Linked DNA regions of Neurospora crassa OR74A. The protein of the gene in region 2 binds, or shares a complex with, the protein of the main gene of each other region. Links are inferred from orthologs where the notes say so. Each region holds a gene or a part of one and is shown on either strand. Other genes may lie near its edges.

Region 1 (4,151 bases), on a different chromosome or scaffold from region 2:
TAGCTTTAACATTGTGGAGCCGGCGAAACTGGGTGGAGCTACCCAGCTTCTCGCACTGGGAACAAATACATCGAAGACGCCCGGGACCCAACAAACTTGAAGGGGACATCAATGTGAGATTCTCTCGGTACCTCCATAGCCGCAAACTCGCCTACCTTCAGTTATTTACTGCTCAGTCTGCTACATACCCATACGTAGTAGCGTACACAATGGAATACACGAAGAGATATCATATCCATCATCTACTCGAATCCGTCCTCCCTCTTGTTGTTTGTCCAAAAGTCACGACGGAGTTCACGGTTCGAGCGGTGACCACGGTAACAGCAAGCATAACCGGAAGTCGTGGAGTTTCTGTGGTTTCAAGGAGGGGGACGGGAGCTGTGTCTCCATGACAAGTCATCGGGCACGCAGCAAACTGGGAAAGTGTGGAAGAGCTGGAAGTTACGGTCTGGAGAGTGCTACTGTAATTATTTCATTACGCATTGGCTCCCGCACCTCCCGTCGAGACTGGAGTTGGAGGCTCCGAGACCTGACCCGAGTCCCTTTTCCCCGGAAATCACGGTTCCCGTCTTTTTGGACCAAGTATCCAATCTTACCGTGGAAAGTGGGGAAAACTTCCATGTCCGAGGTGGAAATGTACGGTAACGCTTTCGGTCCCATCTTTGAGCGCGAACTTTTCGAAGCTTTCGCTTGGGGCATCGAACTGATGGAACTGCGCTAGACATGGTCTGGTCGGTATCCTGGGTTATGGGTTTGGGTTCAATTAGCTACTTGGCACTGACCGCCTTGTGACTTGCCGTAGTATCATGTGACTTTTGCAAAAGTCATTTATCAAATCCATTTTGTCAAAGAAGAGACAAGCGAACCGAGTCTAGATCTCGTCTCGATCTCGTCTCGAGTGGTTTATCGAAATGACTTTGAGGTTTGGCTGTTGGTTTCGATTGTGTAATTCACTACAAAATCCTGCATCGTCAGCTGCCACCTTCAACTTCTTCTTCATTATTGAGCCAGTTGCAGCATTGACTGCACGTCACAGTGTTAAATCCCCCAACTCTCATTGGCTGGCCGTGACTGGTTCGCTGCAGTGCAGTTGCTGTTGTCCAAGCTCTGCGCTGGCTTCAGATCCTTGGCATTTCCCACCCACGGCACCTGCAGCAGTTCGTCGCCCAGAGCTCAGGTCCTGTGGTGGCCAGAGATCCGACCTGGGTGGACAGCTGCCGTGACACTGTCTGTCGGTTCAAAGTGGAACCTTCCCGAGCTGAAACCTGAAGTTCAAGTTCTTTACACTAGTTGAACAGCCCCAGGGCGACCATGGAATTGTTAGTAGTCGTGCTCCACTGCAGCCTCAGCTGCCGCCTGCCTGCCTGCCACGCATAAACTACCTACTACACTATGTAAACTCACCACCCACTCACCATCCCGCAACGACATCCGCAGCAGCCAATGCCTCACCCCGGATTCAAGACTGACGGGACCTGGATTAGATTTGCTTGGCGTTACTACACTACATCACCACGTCCATCATCGTCTAATGCCGTGTACCTTGACGACTCTCCCGTCTCTCTTCGATATCAGTAAGGCGTAGTACACGAGCACGCTGTGACATACGTATCGCGTTAATACATCCTTGTCAAGGAACACATTGCGAGGCTGGTCCGTCTTTATAACATCAAAAGATTGGGAACTGGGCATTGAGCGTGGACTTGAGATATTCAACGGGCGGTTAGGGAGAGGACTACCTAGCCAACATGGCCCCGATTGAGATTCCCCGGGGACAGGCCTCTTACAAAAAAAGAGAGGGCATCATCACATTAACCCCAGACAAGACAGCCCTGATATGGAGCCCCTTGCCGGGCACTGGCCCACCCGTCATCTCACTTTCCGTATCCAACATCACAAACCTCCAACAGACCCCCAAGACGAATCCCAAGGTCGTCTTGAGAGTCGTCGAGAAACCCAAGGCGCCCGGAGCCGATCCGGCTGCCTATCCCTTCCAGTTCACACATGCCACCGAGGCCAGGAATGAGGCCGATGCCATCAAGGATCTTCTCTCTCAGATCATTGCTGAGCTTCGTGGCGATGACCCTTCTCTACCCAAGCCGGCAAAGTCTGGCCCCAACGGCGCCGGCGCCTCTGCCGCCATGGCCATGGCCAGTGCCGTGAACTCGAAGCATTTGCCGTTTCGCTGGTTCGAAGACGACATGCTAAAGGCCGATGTAGAACTTCAGCAGTCCCTCATGAAGAAGGATAAGGCCTTGGCCCATATATATAACGACGCAAAGCTGTCCAAGCCAGATTCATTATCAGATGCCTCCTTCAACAGCCAGTTCTGGGCCACCCGCATCAGCCTGCTACGTGCCTATGCCATCGAGCTGAACCAGAAGAAGGGCTCATATAACGTCCTATCAACCATCAAGCCCCGGACCGAGAACGGCGAGCTCAAGTTGAACATCAACCATGAGCAGGTCCAGCTCATCTTCCAACAACACCCACTGGTCAAGCGCATCTACAACGAGAACGTCCCCAAGCTCACAGAGTCCGAGTTCTGGTCCCGCTTCTTTCTCAGCCGTCTCTCCAAGAAGCTCCGCGGCGAGCGCATCACCGACAATGACAACACCGACCCCTTATTCGACAAGTATCTCGAAGCCGACAACACCATGGCAGTCCCAGCCAAGATCACCGCCACGAGTGTGCCCCCCATCATCAACATCGAAGGCAACGAAGAAAACCAAGGTGGCTTCAGGGGTGGCAACCTCAAAGACGTCGAGATGCGTCCGCGCGCCAACATCCCCATCATCAAAACGCTCAATTCGCTCTCCGAGAAAATCATGGCCAACGTCGCCCCCACAGACGTCGACCCCTCCGCCGCCTCCTACTCCAAAGACGGCATCGCCGACGCCCTATCCAAACAACTCGCCCTGCAAGACCTCCGTGGCGACGCCGAGGCCCAGCTGATCCGGCTTTCCGTCAAGGACACCTCCACCTTCTTCACAGGCAACCAGCCCTCGCTCACCGACCAAGAAGCCGCCGACGCGCGCCTCTACGCCACCCAAGTCCCCTCGGACGTGCTCTTCGAAGTGCAAGCGGACATGGACACTCTCGACTCGGACGGGCGCGGCGGCATCGATCTCCACCGGTCCATCGGGGTCGATCCCGACTCTGACGACGAGGGTAATAACTCTCTGGACTCTAAAAGCGGACCCAAGCCCCAACACGTCGGCTCCCGCGCTGCGCTACGGTTCGCCCAGAACCAGATCCTCGAGAGCATGAAGTCCGCTCGGTCGCACCTCACCACCACCACCACCCACGGTGGCTCGCACACCACCACCACCAATGCGTCCGAAGAACGACCCATGTCGTTGCCGACGGACATTGCCCACCGCGCTACGCTAACCTGCGCTACGACCGCCGAGTTCCTGAAACAGTTCTGGACGGTGTTTAATAACTCCAGCAACAGCAGCCCAGAAAAGCAGCAAGAATTGGCCTACCTGGCCGACTCGCTCGTGCGCTCGAAACAGAGAATCGAGGCGCTGGCTGACGAAGCGGAGAAGAGGAGACAGGAGATTATGGAGAAGCGGAAAAGGGAGATTAGAGAGTATTATCAAAAGACAGGCCGCAAGGCGAAGTGGGTTCCCGTTGGAGGGGGCAGGGATGCGGTGTGGGCGGCTTTTGAGGGCGTGGTGGGCGGGTTGGAGAGGGCTGTGGCGGTTTGGGAGATGGTTAAAAGTGGGAGGATCTGAAGATATGAGGAAAGACAGTGGCAGAGGTGCGTTGTTAGGGGATGGATGTTGTGCTGTGCTGTGTGGAAACGGGAGGAAGATGGGGAGGATGACTTTCATGAGAGGAGAAGTGATAGAGGAGGATGACATTTGGGAGCGTTGCCATGAACGAGAAAAAGTTTCAAGTATATATAGAGGACAGAAATGGCCCACAAGACAGTAAGGCTGGGATAATTTGGGTTAGGAGAAGGAGAAACAGACTGACTATAGTCACATTAGGAATTATGGCTGAAGACCAATGATGAAAAAAAGCATTAAGAAATTTTCAAGAAAGCAAACTGGTTCTGGACTGATGTGTGATATCTAAAACCAGACTCTTAACACTTTCCAAAACGAAGGTTCCGGTATTCTCAGATTACATCATGTAGATAA
Region 2 (4,064 bases):
ATGGAAGAGACTACAGAACAAGAGCATAGTCATTTCGCTCTAGATATTCATGGTAACAGGCATGGTCGGACTTCTCTATAGAGTATTTTCTCGGTTTCCGACCTCATCTTACCGCTTCACATACCCAGGGTAAGAGGCAAAGGTCCGGCGTTGTAGAGGGCAGTTCTGGCATTCATTGATGCCTTGAACCTCATAATGGTAACGCAAATAAATGGTAGTTAGTCTTGTATTGACATTTCTTTCAATGATCAAACTTTGAGTTTCGGTACAGGTGCAATTGCCGCCGAGTATGATCAGTCCCTCGCCAATACTCCTGTCATTGAGCCCTGTCAGCTAGGATGGCGTATCAAGAGGTGTATATCACAAAGATGTGTAGCACAGTGAGCAGGCTGATTTTGTTCGAGCACCCTTTTTCCAATCTCTTCGGTCTCGTATAGTACGTCTCCCGATGACTTGAAGCGTTGTTCTCAATCGAATGTCAAAAAGAGGTTTGCATGTGTATGATCATATGAAATCGAGTTCTTTGTTTTGTAAGAGGTCATCCCTATTTCGAGGCGACCATTACCTCGTATTTTGAACATGGCCCTTTCTTACCCCCAACTCCTGTCTACAGTATAAGCTAGTAATTGCGTGATGCCAAACCACCCACCCAAGCCAGAACTCCTTTTTTCAATGCAAATGTTGATCCTGCCCTGCCCACAGATGTAAAAGTTTTACGATGCAAGACCCCATCGCCTACCCATTGCATCCACCCACAAGAGGTACCTAGGTACTTGGGTTCATTCCAACCATACTGAACCACCCCCGAATCCAAACCACCCTCTCTTACAAACCTGCCCCTCTTACTCCCCCTTCTTCCGACTCTTCAAATAATCCCTCAACTGCTCATGCTTGCTGGCAAAAAAGAGCTGCCTCTTATCATTCTTCCACACTAGTACGCCAATCTCCTCCGCATACCTGCTCAGCGCCGCGTACTCCTCCGTGCTCTCAAAGTCCTTGAACAAGAAGCCCGCCGTGGTCTGCATCCTTTCGTTCTCCAGCTGCCAAAGCCTGATCTGGTCCACCACCGTCGGGGGAAGCACCGGTTTACCCGTGACCGTGGCTTCGCGCACCATTTGTTGATGAGCATGCGCGTGTAGGTAGGAAATGATTTGGTCGGCGGTGATGCCGAAGCCGATTGCTTGGCGGATGGAGTCGCGGGTTAGGCGGCCCGAGACCATGTTGGGGAAACGCATGTTGAGCTGGCAGAAGAGAGCCAGGACGGCGATTTGTAGCGGGGAGGTGGTGTAGGCGTAGATACGATAGTTGGTCTCGATGATGATGCCCTTGGCTGCTGTCTGTGTTTTGTCGGGGGTGGCGGCGGGGCCGCCGCTGGTGCTGGTCGTGGTGCCGGGCTCGCCCGAGGGGTTGGCGGTTGCGGCCGTGAAAGCCGAGGAGACGGTGCGCAGGGCCGAGGCGGTACTGGTCAGTGTGGTGGCCAGGCGGGTAGGGAAAAACTGGCGCGTGTCGCGCGGGAAGTAGATGAGCCCGAAGTCGACGAGCGAGGGAAGCATATTCCGCCGCGTCTCGGTCAGGGCCGAAGTATCGTAGGCAGTTCCAAGCTCAAGCGAGCTGAGCATGAAGAGGAAGGAGAGCATGTCAATGCTGTCCATGCCCGAGTCGGCCGTGTGGTCGGCTGCTTCGAGCCAGAGGAGGAGGAGCGTCCATACTTGGGCGTTGGACTCCTGGAGAAGGAAGGTGAAACCGGCTTGCGTAATTCCGATTCCTGTACGGGTGTCTGGACGTCGTTCGACGAGGCGTCCGGCCAAGAGTAGTTCCTTCACACTGGCCTTGGGTCCGCTGACCCCTTCTGAGCTGCCGTGGACCCCAAGACTGTTGACAACGTAGTGGAGGATGTCGTCCCACTTCTTACGAGCGTACCTGTCCAGGTAGGCGATGTCGATGGAGGGATCGACGGGAAGAGAACTAGGGACGCCAAAGCTGCCATCTTCGCCGCCCCCTTCGAAGGCTAGTTGTAGGCCTTTCTTGAAGCTCGCCGTGATTTGGATTTCTTGGGTTCGGTCCTTGCTTGGTGGTGAGACCTGTAGGATGTGGAGGGATCGGAGAGCGGCAATGGTGCGATCGCGATGTATCTTTCCGCCGCCCTCTGGAGGGAACCATATGTCAAGGGAGGTTAACGGGAATGGGTCGGGCATGTACAGTAGACCTCGGACAATAACCTTGGCTATCGAGGGACAAAGGAGTTAGCTACATGCTATAGATTCGGCGTCCAAGACTTCGGTATCTGACTCGAGGAACAATTGCATACCATGATAAGACAGCATACGGCGGAAGATGGCCAAAGCTGTCGCTGGTGACTGGTACAGTCTCCTAAAAGCTGTACCTGGCAGCTTCTCCAAGTACTCGAGGAGCTGTTGTCCGCCGAGTGACATGGTGGATAGACGGGCGGGCACAGCGGGCCGCTAATAGAGATTCGTTATCGCTATGTGAATGGCAATGTGAAAGGTCAAGTCGAATATTCGGTAAACGTAGTGCTTCGAATGTCGTCAAGTCCAGATGGCTCGTCGAGAGGATCACGATGTAATGCTACTGGTTGACTTCTGCTGGCAGATATGGGGACCAAAACCAACTTCTAGGTGGAAAGTGTTATATCGACGGAAGTGTGATTTATGATGAATCGAGTATATGTTTATTCGGTAGGTACCCAGGGAATCGAGCGATAATGGTGTAGCCGGTGGCACTTGTGGGTGAAAGGCATAAGGTGCAAAAGAAGACCTTGAAGGCTGTTGATGATCATTGCGTTGTACGCGCGCGAGGATAGGTTGCCTGCCCCGTGGTGCCCTTGCAGGTGGTCACCAAGCATAAGTGGGGACTTCGGACCCTCGTGGCAGGCACTACCAGTCCCTGTTACGACGTCACCGTTCCACTGTCCGGCATTTGTCTACCGTCTCCCGGGTCGGCCAGTCTGCTTCTAAAGCCACTGTAACAGCGCCTGTCCCGGGTGGTGATTTCCGGCATTCACAGCAGTGTTCCGTCCCCAAGTCCACCTAGAGGTAGTCCAGACACCGCATCTGAAGCACACCTCGTGTATCCCTCTTACATCGTCTCCTATTTCGAGGTCAACAGCAACAAAAAAATGGCACCCAAGCTTCCACCAGCGAGATTCGTGAGATCGGTTAGTTCAGGAACTCATTTCACAGCTGCATTGACTCGGTTGCTTACAGCATGTTAGGTCCTGAAGTCGTTCATGGCCGAGTCCGGCCTTGAGCCGAGGTAAGTGATGACACATCACCATGGTCTGTCAAGAAGAGATCAAGACATGAGACTGACCAAATTTTACAGACTCCTCGGACCTCATGTAGGCAAAAGACACCACAAAATTCCATGGATACAACGAACATGTAACTGATATGACCAAACTAGCTCCGGGTAACCGGTGCCACCGAAGGCAAGGTCGACTTTGAACTCGACATCACCAAAGACCACACCAACCGTCTAAAGATCATCCACGGCGGGACCATCGCCAGCATGGTTGACCTTGGTGGTTCTCTGGCTGTAGCCTCGAAAGGACTCTACGCCACCGGTGTGTCGACGGATCTGAACGGTATGTTTCCTTCCTTCCATGAGATTGATTCATGCCTACTCGGACAAAAGAACTCCAGCCCAGTTATGTGCTGCTTTCCGCAAACACACAATACTAAAATGTATATGAAAAAACTCAGTTACCTACCTTAGTAGCGGTGGGAAAGTCGGCGAGAAGATTTCCGGGACCGCTGTGTGTGACAAGAGTAAGTCTTTCTTCCTGCCCCTTTGCATCAGCAACATGAATTATTGACATGACTAACCTTCATCATCAACAACCAAACAGTGGGCAAGACTCTTGCCTACACCACCGTCACTTTCCGCAACCAAAAGGGCGAGCTATGTGCCCGTGGTAGTCATACAAAGTATGTCGCCAACGCCTGGAAGTCCCAAAATGGGACTGAGCTCTTCACGCCTCCGGAGGGAGCTGTGATTGCCGAGGATGATGTGGAGTAAAAGTCATGAGAGTCAACCTGGACATA
Region 3 (3,788 bases), on a different chromosome or scaffold from region 2:
GCAGTAGGGTTCAGAGACTTCACATCACAGGGTTCGTATGTTTGTGCCGAGCCTCCATTAACGCCGGTCCAGGGGTGACTCCATCGAGCTTCGGCACCGCGGCACCGTCATGTTGGACTATTGATTTATAGTTTCCTCCGGTGCGTCGGCATCTTGCTCGAGATGACCACCGGGAAGACTGTTTGTCATATTGCCGTTACTGGTCGAAACAAGCCAGCGTCCACTTTGTCCATAGAGAGACGACCGCATGAGTTCCACCTGGGCTCGGCATATTCATGAAGAACTAAGTTGCCGTCGTTCTGGAAGGTAAATTATTGTCTCGGAAGACAAGTTCGCTTTTCTGTTCTTTGATCTGGAAGAGCTACCGGGGTTATAATGTCGCCGGCCTTGAAAGATTCCTGTGTCTACTATGTATGAGTGAAGGGTGTTATAAGATCGGGAACTTGAACAACTTACCATAGGGGAATATTCGGTGGTGGTTACAGTGCTAGAGGTAGATAATCGGGAGTAATCAAGGCAGTTACATATTGCGAGAGCATGGAAAGAACAATGTCTTAAATTGAGCTTCAGTTTTGTCTATTCCTTACCTACCTGGCTGCCCCTTCCTTAGATACTTGTACTTCTCTTCCTCAAAACCTCACAATACCTATCGATGATAGTCTTGGCCATAGGCTTCCAACGTAAAGCTGTCGTCACCGGGGTAACCCCTAAGCCAATAAGAGCCCGACTACAGACCAAGGACACCTTGAATTGCACAGCCGGTGACTTTAAGCCACTCTCGGTTGACAGTCTTGCGCCATCCTTCTAAAGGAGATCCTCGTACGATATGTGAATAAACCGAAAAGGGAACATGTGATGGTGTGGATGGATCAAAGGAAAAAGATGACCTCGCTGTTGGTGTCAAAAGTTATGCACGCTTGCGTGTTCATCACCCGGCTGTTTTGGTGGTAATGCTGGGGTCGTTGAACTAGAATCGGACACAGCAGGAAGAGAAGAATAAGATGAGAGATGAAGGACATGTTCGGATGAAGGTGATATCATTGTACATAGAGGAGCTAGGATATCTTGACCAATAGGAAAGCGAGAACTGGACTACATCTGTATGTTTAACTGCATGTTAGTGCTCTAACTGCATATCTTTTGACCACTAAGGAAAATGCCGGCAATCTGCCTTATCGGGTATCACGTGGTAGCGTGTGCACTTGGACCAGGATCCTTTGGCCTTCACTTGGATCGCGTTTCGCTTGCAACCCCGAAATCGTTATCGCATTTCTCCGTTACGTTATCGCATCTGCAGTGTTCTCGACGAGAAGGTCTTCTTGGGCGCGTCAATCCTATTCAGCAGACATAACCAATCCAGACAACAACTATAACGAATATCACACAACAGAGCGCCCGCTTAGCTATCCTGCCATCTCTCGATCCAGCATCCAGACAAGCTCCCTACGAGCACCGGCGCACTGAGTATCGCGGCGACAAAAGGCCTACGTCATGTACACCAACTGGCTTCGATCCACGATATAGCTCTACAACACACACAACCTTGAAGCGAGTTGAGGCTGTCCCTGCCAGATCATCGTCAAGATGACGGTCCAGGACGCCGTCGACGCCTCCGAACACTACGAAATCTACAACACCGATGATATCCCCTCCCTTTATACCATAATCATCGACACCAACCCACGCGCCTGGGCCGCCCTGAACGATGTCCTCCCACTCACGAAAGCGCTCGCCAACATTCTAATATTTGTCAACTCCCACTTAGCCTTCAATAACTCCAACCAAGTAGCTCTCATAGCATCACACACGAACCGGGCAGTATGGCTCTACCCAACAGCACCCGACCAGAACCCCGGCCGACACCCGCAAAATCCAAACGAAGACATCGAAATGCGCGACGCCTCCTTCACAAGTAAACAACAATCTCCACCGCCCGCAAACAAATACCCCCTCTTCGCCCAAATCGAGCGCTCCCTCCTCTCCTCCCTGCGATCTCTCATAACCGACACCACAACCGAGGACATCACCTCTACAACCACCACCCAGATTTCCGGCGCCTTGACCCTCGCCCTCGCGCACATCAACAAAACCGCCCTCCTCTTCGCCCCCTCCAACTCCGCCACCGGCCCAACCCCCTCCTCCGCAGGCGGCAAGTCCTCCGTCTCCACAACCTCCGGCGCCGGCCCAGGCGGCGGCAACGCAGCCTCCCTCCCTGGCATCGGCGGTGGCGGCCTGGCAGGCCTGCACGCCCGCATCCTGGTGGTCAGCGTAAGCGACAGCTCCCCCTCGCAGTACATCCCTACCATGAATGCTGTGTTCGCGGCGGCGCACGCGCGCATTGCCATCGACACGCTGGCGCTGCGGGGTAGTGCAACGTTCTTGCAGCAGGCGAGCTATATTACGCGCGGCACGTTTATACGGGCGCAGGAGCCGAGGGGACTATTGCAGTACTTGATGTTTGGGTTTGGAAGCGGGAGCGCGCCACAGGGGTTGGCGGCGGCAGGGAACCAGCGGTCTCAGCAGCAGCATGGGGGACATAAGGGGAAAGAGGACAAGGCGAGCGAGAAGGCCCTTGGCGCCGCGGCCAAGGGAGGGGCCAAGCATGGAGGCCAGAAGTTTCTGGGGAGTAATGCTAGCGTGGCGGATCTGTTGGTCACCCCTAGTGCGGACTCGGTGGATTTCCGGGCGGCGTGTTTCTGTCATCGGAACGTGATTGATACGGGGTTTGTGTGCAGTATCTGCTTGAGCATTTTTTGCGAGGTGCCCGAGGGTGGGGAGTGTTTGACATGCGGCACCAAGTTAGCGTTGGGGAATTACGGGAGGAAGTTACCTGTGCTGCCTTCAAAGGCTGCTGCTCCTCCTGGAGGGGGGCAGGCGAATGGGAAAGGGACGATGCTGAAATAAGTCTTCAGCGAGGTATGGAATAGAGTGAAGAGGTAACTGATGGTGGATGATTCTTTTGTCCTGGGCCGGGGAACCAGGCAGTCAAGAGGCTGATTAGAGACTAGGGAGTGGTAAAGCCCACAAGATTGCTCGTGGGATGTCTACCGAAAGCGGACAAAAGGCTTGGAAAACTACATATACACATAGAGTCTGACATGCAGTGCTAATACCCATAAAACAGCTTTTATTGCGAATATCACTTTACTGGACATGGATTCCCACTATAGGATTCAGCCATCGATACCTGTTATTGGGGACATGTCTAGTCATTATCCATCGTTACATCATGCTCCCCCGACTCGCGTTCAACGTCCACCGTCCATTCATAACTCATCATCAGACTCAGTCTCACTCCCCTCATCTACTACAGCAGCAGGCTGAGACGCTCTCGTAGCCGTCGCCCCGGCCCTCTTAGTATGGGAAATGGGCGTTAGCGTCTCCTTTCCCTTTCCCTTTCCTACAACAGAAGCCGTCGTCTTTTTCTGAGGGGTTGTCGTCGCTGTCGAGGATGCCGCAGCCGTGCGTTGTCGTCTAGCAGGCGGCGGTGAAGGAGGCGGCGGCACATCAAGATCCTTGTCCCCTGCTTCTACAGTCCCATCATCCTCCTCATCGGGCTCACTGGCTGTTTCGTCATCGTCGTCGCGGTCTGGGGTGTTGCGGTCAGATGTCTTATTGAGGACCTCATCTTCGTCCTCGTCGTTATCAGTGACGTCCTCGTGATCGAGGGTTTTGCTAGAAGATGATTGTCCCATGGTGGTCGTCTTTGATGATGGTTCCGGCTCTGATTCTGGCTCAGGTTCCGGCTCGTCGACATCCATCTTTTCGAATTTTGCGTGGTCGTTGTC

What was found. Proteins that work in one complex are often made in the same cells at the same time.
Region 1: NCU05523 (region 2) and NCU05423 share a complex: the UniProt entries of both Schizosaccharomyces pombe proteins name them as parts of the 7-subunit TFIIH core complex. The link is inferred for Neurospora crassa OR74A from reciprocal best matches to the Schizosaccharomyces pombe genes tfb2 and tfb1.
Region 3: NCU05523 (region 2) and NCU01580 share a complex: the UniProt entries of both Schizosaccharomyces pombe proteins name them as parts of the 7-subunit TFIIH core complex. The link is inferred for Neurospora crassa OR74A from reciprocal best matches to the Schizosaccharomyces pombe genes tfb2 and tfb4.

What each region holds. Positions count from the first base shown.
Region 1 is NC_026502.1:1,591,224-1,595,374, reverse strand, and holds NCU05423 (hypothetical protein), read left to right. Parts: upstream 1-1,348; 5' UTR 1,349-1,748; coding exon 1,749-3,740; 3' UTR 3,741-4,054; downstream 4,055-4,151. UniProt on the Schizosaccharomyces pombe protein: Component of the general transcription and DNA repair factor IIH (TFIIH) core complex, which is involved in general and transcription-coupled nucleotide excision repair (NER) of damaged DNA and, when complexed to TFIIK, in RNA transcription by RNA polymerase II.
Region 2 is NC_026506.1:1,624,977-1,629,040, forward strand, and holds NCU05523 (transcription factor tfb2), read right to left. Parts: upstream 2,781-4,064; 5' UTR 2,433-2,780; coding exon 2,309-2,432; intron 2,225-2,308; coding exon 843-2,224; 3' UTR 509-842; downstream 1-508. Other genes in the region: NCU05522 (PaaI thioesterase), read left to right, coding at 3,137-3,175, 3,233-3,273, 3,343-3,358, 3,424-3,604, 3,723-3,788, 3,869-4,038. UniProt on the Schizosaccharomyces pombe protein: Component of the general transcription and DNA repair factor IIH (TFIIH) core complex, which is involved in general and transcription-coupled nucleotide excision repair (NER) of damaged DNA and, when complexed to TFIIK, in RNA transcription by RNA polymerase II.
Region 3 is NC_026502.1:3,029,971-3,033,758, reverse strand, and holds NCU01580 (transcription factor TFIIH subunit Tfb4), read left to right. Parts: upstream 1-1,265; 5' UTR 1,266-1,584; coding exon 1,585-2,904; 3' UTR 2,905-3,266; downstream 3,267-3,788. Other genes in the region: NCU01581 (hypothetical protein), read right to left, coding at 3,267-3,788. UniProt on the Schizosaccharomyces pombe protein: Component of the general transcription and DNA repair factor IIH (TFIIH) core complex, which is involved in general and transcription-coupled nucleotide excision repair (NER) of damaged DNA and, when complexed to TFIIK, in RNA transcription by RNA polymerase II.